2 linked regions of the Caenorhabditis elegans genome follow. The protein of the gene in region 2 purifies or fractionates together with the protein of the main gene of each other region. This does not show direct contact. Each region holds a gene or a part of one and is shown on either strand. Other genes may lie near its edges.

Evidence for each region. Proteins that work in one complex are often made in the same cells at the same time.
Region 1: the proteins of C26B9.3 (region 2) and C15F1.1 fractionate together in Caenorhabditis elegans (co-fractionation; one large-scale study listed by BioGRID). This does not show direct contact.

What each region holds. Positions count from the first base shown.
Region 1 is NC_003280.10:6,987,846-6,992,203, reverse strand, and holds C15F1.1 (ShKT domain-containing protein), read right to left. Parts: upstream 2,325-4,358; 5' UTR 2,312-2,324; coding exon 2,248-2,311; intron 2,135-2,247; coding exon 2,000-2,134; intron 1,948-1,999; exon of another isoform or gene 1,843-1,947; intron 1,706-1,842; coding exon 1,623-1,705; intron 1,578-1,622; coding exon 1,480-1,577; intron 1,329-1,479; coding exon 1,281-1,328; intron 1,072-1,280; coding exon 858-1,071; intron 742-857; coding exon 622-741; 3' UTR 517-621; downstream 1-516. Other genes in the region: C15F1.2 (uncharacterized protein), read right to left, coding at 3,758-3,880, 3,945-4,059, 4,107-4,285, 4,339-4,358.
Region 2 is NC_003284.9:5,336,409-5,340,725, reverse strand, and holds C26B9.3 (uncharacterized protein), read right to left. Parts: upstream 2,408-4,317; 5' UTR 2,383-2,407; coding exon 2,283-2,382; intron 2,224-2,282; coding exon 2,098-2,223; intron 1,642-2,097; coding exon 1,488-1,641; intron 1,440-1,487; coding exon 1,338-1,439; intron 1,328-1,337; exon of another isoform or gene 1,188-1,327; intron 1,019-1,187; coding exon 898-1,018; intron 834-897; coding exon 663-833; 3' UTR 544-662; downstream 1-543. Other genes in the region: C26B9.2 (uncharacterized protein), read right to left, coding at 262-387.

The DNA.
Region 1 (4,358 bases), on a different chromosome or scaffold from region 2:
AAAATGTCAAAAGGGGAAATGAAGTGGTTGAACAGAATAGAAATGGACATAGAGAACTTGATGAGCAACTAAATTGCACCAACGGACATCTGGTTGCATATTTACAACTATGGGGAGACACGAGAATGCTCTATAATATGTCTAAAAATTATGATCGAATGCCGATCGAAAGTTTCTTTTTTCATGAACTTGCTAAAGTCGGTTATGATTAAAGATCACTAAGCGATAAGTTAAAATTTAAGTTTAAAAATCACAAATGTCATCAACTCCCATCGAAATTTCTTCTAAAACCTTATTCTCCGCTAGTCTACTCTTTCATCTTCACTCATCGTTAGAATCCTCATGAATTGCCAATAAAAGTGTCAATTCTTGCATCCATTTTCTCACTTCATTTGCTTTCTTTTTCTTTTTCATTTTGGCTCATTTCACAGCTCATTTATTTTCACTATTCTATTATACAGTGACTCTTGAGATGGTGCTATATACATATTTAGCAGCTTTTAGGAAAACTCATAAAAAGCAGCAAGAGTTTTTATTTTTAAGGGGAAAGGGGGAATCAATTGAGTGGGAAGTAGTTGACTAGAAGTGGAATAGAAAGAGATAAACACGTTTTTCTTCAGTTTATGGCTCAATTTTGTTGTAACGAATAAATGTGTGCTCCTGCATTCCATGTGTTAATGTCTCCATGTTCAGACGGGCTTGAAGTGTTGATCGATCCAGAAGAGTCCATTCTCGGACGAGCTGAATATTTTAAATTTTGAGTTTGATTGAATTATGTGAAATTAGAGCGTTTTTGAATTTTGTTGTTGGTTTTCATTGTTATGACTACACACAAAAACACTATTCTAAAAACTTACATCATGAACAGGCAAATCTCTGCTGAAACTAATTCTTCCGATATCCTTAAGCCGGAATCTAATTTGATTTCCATTGACTGGACCTTCTTCGACTGTCACAAAACCATTATTCATTACAGTTGTCAGTGCGACTTCTTTTGTGTTTGGTTTCACAGAAATATATCCATATTCACTGTGCAACTCATCTTTATCATTTATCGACCAGGCAAATGCTCTGAAAATTCGGAGCATTTTGAAGATAGTATTGAGATTTCTATTGTCACCAATTCCCTTTTACAAGTACACTTTTCCGAAAAAAATAGAAGAGCCACCAGAATTGACAGAATCAAAAATAAAATCCCAAGACAAAACACTCAACAGTTCGAAACAAAAAAATAGGTTTTTTTGGAAAATAAATAAAAACAAAAAATGACATATGAAAACCTGTTTGGATTCTTCTCATCTCTTTTTTCTACACTCCATGCGAACGCTCTAAATTTAAATATTTTCTGAATCTGAAACATCTAAACGGCAATATTTCCAATAAACCTTTCACGTGAACGTTAACATGCCTACCTGCCTCGTACAACCACCAAATAATAGGCGGCATGCAGGCATGGCATAATTTCAGTTATTTTCTTACGTGTAGTTAAGAGCTTGAGCCGATTGCATTGCATCGCCTGGAATTGAAATTTCGATTTCTTCTCCAAATGTGAATTTCGGAATTGTTGGGAAGATTGCCTAGATTTATTAAATTTAAGAATCTGGACAGTTTCAAAAACGAACTTTTCCTCCATGTTCAGATCTCCATTTCCCTACTAGGAAACCAATTGGTGTGAGTTCCTGAGAAAGACGACGTAAATCGTATTCTGAAATAATAGTATGTTTTTAGAAGTTTTAGAACCACAAGAAATTGCAAATTTAAAAATATAATAGTTTAAATGTTTATTACTATTTTGAAGTCTAATATTATGTTAAATACTACCCTTTCAAATATTTTTCCAGATTGTTTGCTCAATTTTATTGAATTTCTAATGTGAAAATTCTTCCGTCATTTCTTGAAAATTTTTTATGTAGAATTCCACTTTTTTAAAACTATCATTAGTGTTTTAATAAAGTGTAATAGCTGAAGTTTTTAATTTTTAAATAAAGAAACAACCTACTGGGATCAACCTCTCCACATTGTCCACAACTCTTGAGACAACTTCTTTTAATATATTCAGTTGAATCACATGCATTTGGATTGACAGTAATCCAATCTCTACAATTATTATCAAAGTCCCGGCATGTGTCGGCTGCTGAAAAAAAGATATACGTGAAAAGGGTATTGTTATGTTTAGTGTAAACTGAATATGGGTCTGGGAACCTGTTTTTATGGCATTTTATTGTGTTTTGATTGAACGAAACAAACCTATTGAAAATGATAATAAACTGAAAAGTGTGAACAATAGAAATGACGTCTGATGTATTGACATTTCTCTGAAAAGTCTGAAAATGATTTTATGAAAAGAAATGGAAAAAGTAAACGAAAGGGTAATTGGTAGAATGACGGGAAAAAGTAAAGAAGGAACTACTAGAAATGGTTGATATGATAGATAACTAGTGAAAGGGATAGATTTTTAATCAAGGTTGGCAGAAAAAATCGAATGTAAAAGGAGGGAGAAGGTGAGTGAGTGAATGAGAAACAAGAAGAATACAAAGAGGAAAAGCCTTCTTTTTTCTCTTTTTTATCACTTATCACCTCAACATCGTCAATCAACGAGCGTCGTGCCGAGAACCGAAAACGATCTTTTCCAGTGCTAATTGAACATTGTTTTCTCTGCGTTTCTTTCTTTTTTTTCCATTTTAAATTAAACTTGTTCGAGTTAGGGTGCAGACCGGTGAAAATTGTGAGATGAACGATAAGTAATTGGATATTCAAAATATTTTGAACATTGGTGATTTGATTAATGGAACAATAAAAACAATTAATATTTCTGGAATACAAAAATGTAAAACATTTCCGTTCCAAATGAAATAGTTTTTCATGAAACTATTCTCACGAGAGAGGTTAAAAATCAACATTATAATGTTTATTATAAGTTTTTAATTCATTAGTTATTTCTGAAAAGTTTCAATGCTCTCCATTTTTTGTGGTGAAAAGATATGAAAAAATAAATTAAATTAAAAAAATATTTTGAAAGTGGTTTGAAAGGACTTTGGAAGATACATCAGCAATATGAAAATAATCTTCAGTGCTCAACTAACCCATATTAACTTATATGTGTTTGATATTTCTTCAAATTTCTTGCCCCGAGAAAAAACGAGAAAAGATATTTAAGCATACTGTCCTGAAAACCAAAACTTATCGTGTTACTAATAAGTTCATTACCGAAGTAAATTGAGGAATTAATACTTCTTTTCGAAAACAGTTCTTCGTCACAAAATGGTTGAAAAAGAAAAGAAAAAGTAGTGAAGAAAGAAGGCGTGTGAGGGGAACGTTCATTTGGCATTTCCATTCATCTTTTCTTTGGCATTTAGCATGTCATTTCAGTTACAAGTGTGGAATGCAATGTATCAACTGTAGAAAGAGAGAAATGGAAGTGACCATTTGGAGAATAGAACACGATTTACTGTTCATCTTCTTTTCTGTACTGGAATTATCATTTGGTGGAAGTGAAAAGAAACAATGTGATATTAGAAAATTGTAAATAATATGCTATCGATTCCTGAAACTTTTCCCACTCATAAGTCGAAACCTTAAAAAAATATTTCATTTGTTTTTTAAAAATTAATAAGTTATTAATTATTAAATTACTCGTGAAAATATGAATGAAATGATTAAAGCGAAACCGGAAAGTCAATAAACAAAATTGGCACCAGTGAGATAACCGGCAAAGTTAATTGGAATGTAAAACAGTATTATTTGATTATTTTATAGATTATGCTCTGTATTTGGCCATTCGAACAACTCGGGCTCCCCGAGAAATGTCTAAACCAAGTTGCGCAATTTCTTGAAGTTTTTGACCAGCATCTGTATTTAGAAGGAGTTGTCGAACAACATTCTGAAAAATAAGAGAGTTAGTTCACCGATAACAAAACAAACGAAAATATATAGAAAAAAGATACCTTAACAGCTTCTTTGGCTTTTCTCTTAACACATTCTTGTTTGATCTCATTTATTGTAGCTGTCAAGCTGATAATTGTTCTTTCCACTTCAACCTCGAAAGTTTCTTCACGGCATCTGAAAATTCAGTTTTAAAAGAGAATCAGAAACTCAAAAAATCATACTCATCAAAGTTCGGACAACAATCTCTGAGATGTGTACACTTCTCTTGAATCAAATTAGCATCATGGAAACATTCTCTAGATTTTGAATATTCAAACGATGTATTCAAAAGTCGCCGGAGAGAATCATCATATTCATGGCGTTTGTGTTCAGGATAAGCAAGACAAACTGAATCTTCAAACTGAAAAATAATGTTAATTGTAGTGAGATTCATACAGAATATGTGTAACTTACATATTTTTCGTTCTTATTAT
Region 2 (4,317 bases):
CTACAAAAGCTATCGATAAGTTTTAAATATTAACAATGTTTTCCCGTTTTTAGCAAGTCAAGGCAAGTTTTTGGCAAGCATCACTATTGACGTTACGAAACAGATCTTGAAGATGGTTTCTAAGCATTTACAAGGACCTCAAGAAAAAAGTTGAGATTCCGGGTATTGAGGATCCCAAATCACAATAATATTGGAGACAGTAAATCTAATAATTGTTTTTTGAACTTGTAAACTCTCAAGTATTATTTTAAGTTATTATACCTGAAAAGAATCCGACAGAAACTTGTAGAAACCGTTGTCTTCTTCTGAATTCTTATCAGAAGTATAGGCTACACATTTAACACAAAACGTTAAACACCAAAATATTATTAGAAAGGAGAGTTCCATGTGTAGAGTGCGAACAATGAATTGCAAGTTTATCAGCTTCTTCTCGAGAACCGGCGCCTTTCTATTTCAATCTTATCACTAGGAAAAGAAACAGGATAGACAGGATATGAAGATGTTTTCGATTCGATTGCCATCTAATGTCACGAACTTTTGTTTCACTTTTTCATAGTTTTTATTCGGCGTACAGTGAAAGAGCAGTCGGATGAAATTTACAAGCTACAAATGAGGAGGTGTTGGAAGGCAAAAATTATTAAAAAAATAAATAGATATGCGATTTAGTCAAACGACGGAAGAGCGAGCTTGACATCAATGCCAAGTAAAAAGCACGCAACAGTGCTCTGAGCCATTCTTCTTTGCAGAATTGCTTTTCCGAACGCAGATAAATATGATTCTTTGGAAGACCGTGGCTCCATATCCATTAAATATACAGTGATGAACATGGAAATCTGAATATTACAATTGATTAACAAAATAAAAATAAAGAAAATTGAAGAAAGGAGAAAAACTTACAGGCTTCTTTTCAAGGATGTTGTTCTGAATCTCTGGTGGAATGTAATCCTTGAAATCGTCCATTTCTGGTGTGCACATTTCTGTCTCAATATCGTAAAGTCCTGGTTGCATATCACCACATCTGAAACCAAACTCGTTTCGTCGGTTGGTCACACGTTTTTCTTTTTGGTTCAAATGTTTAACTTAACACTCATTACACATATTTTAATTGATCAATGTTTCTGTGATAGATGTGAGTGAAAACATGATTACATGATTTTTGCGAGACTGTAGAGGCTATAGAGACCCGCAGTTTTGCCAAATCACAAATCAATCAAACAGACAAGTACATCCGAACCCGTCGCGGTTCTAGCTTTCACTTTCCGTAGAGGAACGGATGTTGTTCAAAAACTTGTACTATTCACACCACGAGTAATGAGAGTGAAAACAAAATGGCATACTTGCAATCCTCATCGATCAACTTGTGTTCAGGTCTGCTGAGCTTGCTAGGTGTGATTTTGGACGTTTGAGCCTTAAGTTGCTTGCAGAAGTCGCAGAACACGCTAAATAATAATAATTTTGAGGTTTAAATATATGCTTCACAAACTTACCAAGATCCTTCCAATTTGGCGCACGGGCACTGGTTCACCTTCTCGTCGATTTTTTTCGAGCATGGAAGGGATGGATTGTTTGGATCCGGAGTTCCTCCGATTCTCATTTCAACTTCGGCAATCAAATTTTTTGTTGGTCTCGTGATTTCAACTCCTGTAAATTTTATTTAAACGGTTTAAGAATTTTGGAAAATAGTTTGACAATTTTGGCGGGGATAGCTCAGTCGGTAGTGATGGCCGCAAGGAATCACGAGGTCACAAGTTCAAATCCTGCCCTCTAGCTTCATTCAGCCTGTACTGGGAAGTGAAGTATTTCATGACTGGATTATATTTCACAGTTTCCGTGGCTTCAACAATAGCCCAAAGAAGGAGCACCATAATATAGATCCTAGACCTACCGTGCTTGAGAAACGTATCCTCCTTTAATCCTCTGATTTTAAATAAAAAGCAAGCATGCCAAATTTGTTTACTTGCATGATATTGAGACTCAAATTAAACCAGGTGAATTTTTTTGCTAAAACTTGCAGCATACTTATTAGCTCTAGTTCAAATTTAAATTAAACAATTTTTATTTTCTTAGTTCAGAATTGATGTTGCAAATTTCACCTACCTTCTGCCTTAATTTTGATACACCCTGGAATGACTGGATTCTTTGGAATTAACTGAATCTTGTCTGGATTGAAACGAATACTCGGTCGGTACTTGTTGATATCAATTCCTTTCCTCGACAAGTAGACTGAAATTTGAATCTAGGTTTGCTTTTCAGAACAAGGGAGATATAAATTTGGAACTTACTTGGCGAACATGCTCCTGAAACTCGAATATCCACTTCAGCTTTTTCTTGCCCATGGACAAAAGTAATGAAACAGAGAAGTATAAGCGAATAGACCCGCATGTTTTGGGAGAAAGTGTGGATCAGTATGGTGCGCAGCGGACACCGGACGGACTGCATCGCCTATCGACTGTGTTGTCGTCCGCGCCTCTTCATCTCTCCTAGTTTCCAACGAATCCTCCGCCAGAAAATGCCAGTTCGTTTCACTTTTCTTTATCTCTCTCCAATTTTGCCCCTTTCTCTCTCCCGTCGATCCGCACATCACACCGTCTTCTTTCTTCGACTTCAGTGACGACGATGCTACACGGCGCTGACATCGTTCCCACTCGTCCTGAGTGTACACACACACCTTCAACTAATATATCGCCCATTTGATTTTATCCCTTAGCGGATCGGAACAGACGAATATAAAATATAACTCTACAGCGACGATAAGGATATGCTTCGTGAACGCTTGGCATCGGAAGTGGGGCAATTGTGCAACATTGTCATGCAATGATCTGAATTTTAAATCTTAAATTTGTTTCTGATTTTTGTAATGATTCACTAAAAAGTTGACGATTGACATATAAACAGGAATTATAATAATCATTAACAACGTTTTAAAGTTATTGAAAGTTTATATATAATTTTAAAAGTACTTTCAAAGACATACCTAGTTTAAGCTGAAACCAAAAACAGCTGTTATACGCAAAACCATCAACAACTGTATAGTGTTGACATTTTCTTCGTGTTCTTTTTATATTTTTCAGAGATTTCCTTTCTTTTTTTTTGTTAATTATAGGATCTTCAAAGGATGGGTTCGATTTTGTATTTAGTAAATTGGAAAAAATGAAAAAAAAAAACCACGGGTTTCAGATATTCAGCAAAATCGGCAAGTTTTTTATTTGGCGGTTTGCCAAATATGCAGAAAATAAAAAAAAAAAACATTTTGCCTACTTTGCCCGGCTGAAAAATATTGTTTAAAAAACTACAACACATCTAAAAGTTTGTTTAATTTTTGAAAACTTTCTGGCAAACAACAAGCTAAGAAATCAACAAAAATGTGTTTAAAAGTGTTGTGCACTGAAATTGTACCCAGGACCACAAAGATATGTTCTGAGTTGAGATTCACATCTTCTTCGGAAATGCTTAGAATACTTTTATTTCTATTGTTTGATTCATGGTTTCCACATTTGCCAAATGAACGGATGGATAAAAGTTAAAGAAAGGAAATCTCGATTGATAGATTCCAACATTTTCACATCAGAATTCCATCAGGCGCAAAGATAATTTTTTTTTAAATATGAACAATAATGTTATCTATTACAAATACTTCCAAAACTAAGTGGATGGCAATTTTTATACTGAAAAAATTCAAAATGAAAATTTAGATTTACAGAAATTTGTTTCAAGAAAAACTTAGATTTAACGTAATTTTATACCGATTTATATATTTTAGTCCAAATTCTTTACAGTAATATTATGGTTTTACTTTTTGTCTAGTCTTCCACTCCTTATGAGCGCTTCTTTTTATTTGTTATTTGTATTTGTGTATATAACTCTCAAACACCAAAATGGACGGCATACTGCGTCGCGGTCGTCGTCCGCCGCCGCCGGCCACAACACACCCGTCGAGCCGCGTACACTCTCGCGAGGGCAGACCACACAAGTATAAGATGTGGTAGAGAAGCAAGAACGTGTAGATAGATAGACATACAAACACCCACAGAGAGGCATAGACACAGACAGTTACATCACGCGCTTCGCGGAGACCCAGAATCTTTTGCAGAGTGTGCGCGAAATGTGGGTTGAATAGAGGGCGAACAATAGTTCGCCCCGAGTTTATTACACATTCCCCATTTTACAATATCTGTTTCTTATTTCTTACATCGCATATCAAATCAGCAACTGATCAGGATTTTCAGAAATAGATTGTGAATTCCCTAAATAATAATAAAAAACTATAATTTTGCCAACGATACCAAAAGCTTCTAAATCAAAAAAAAAATTGAAAGC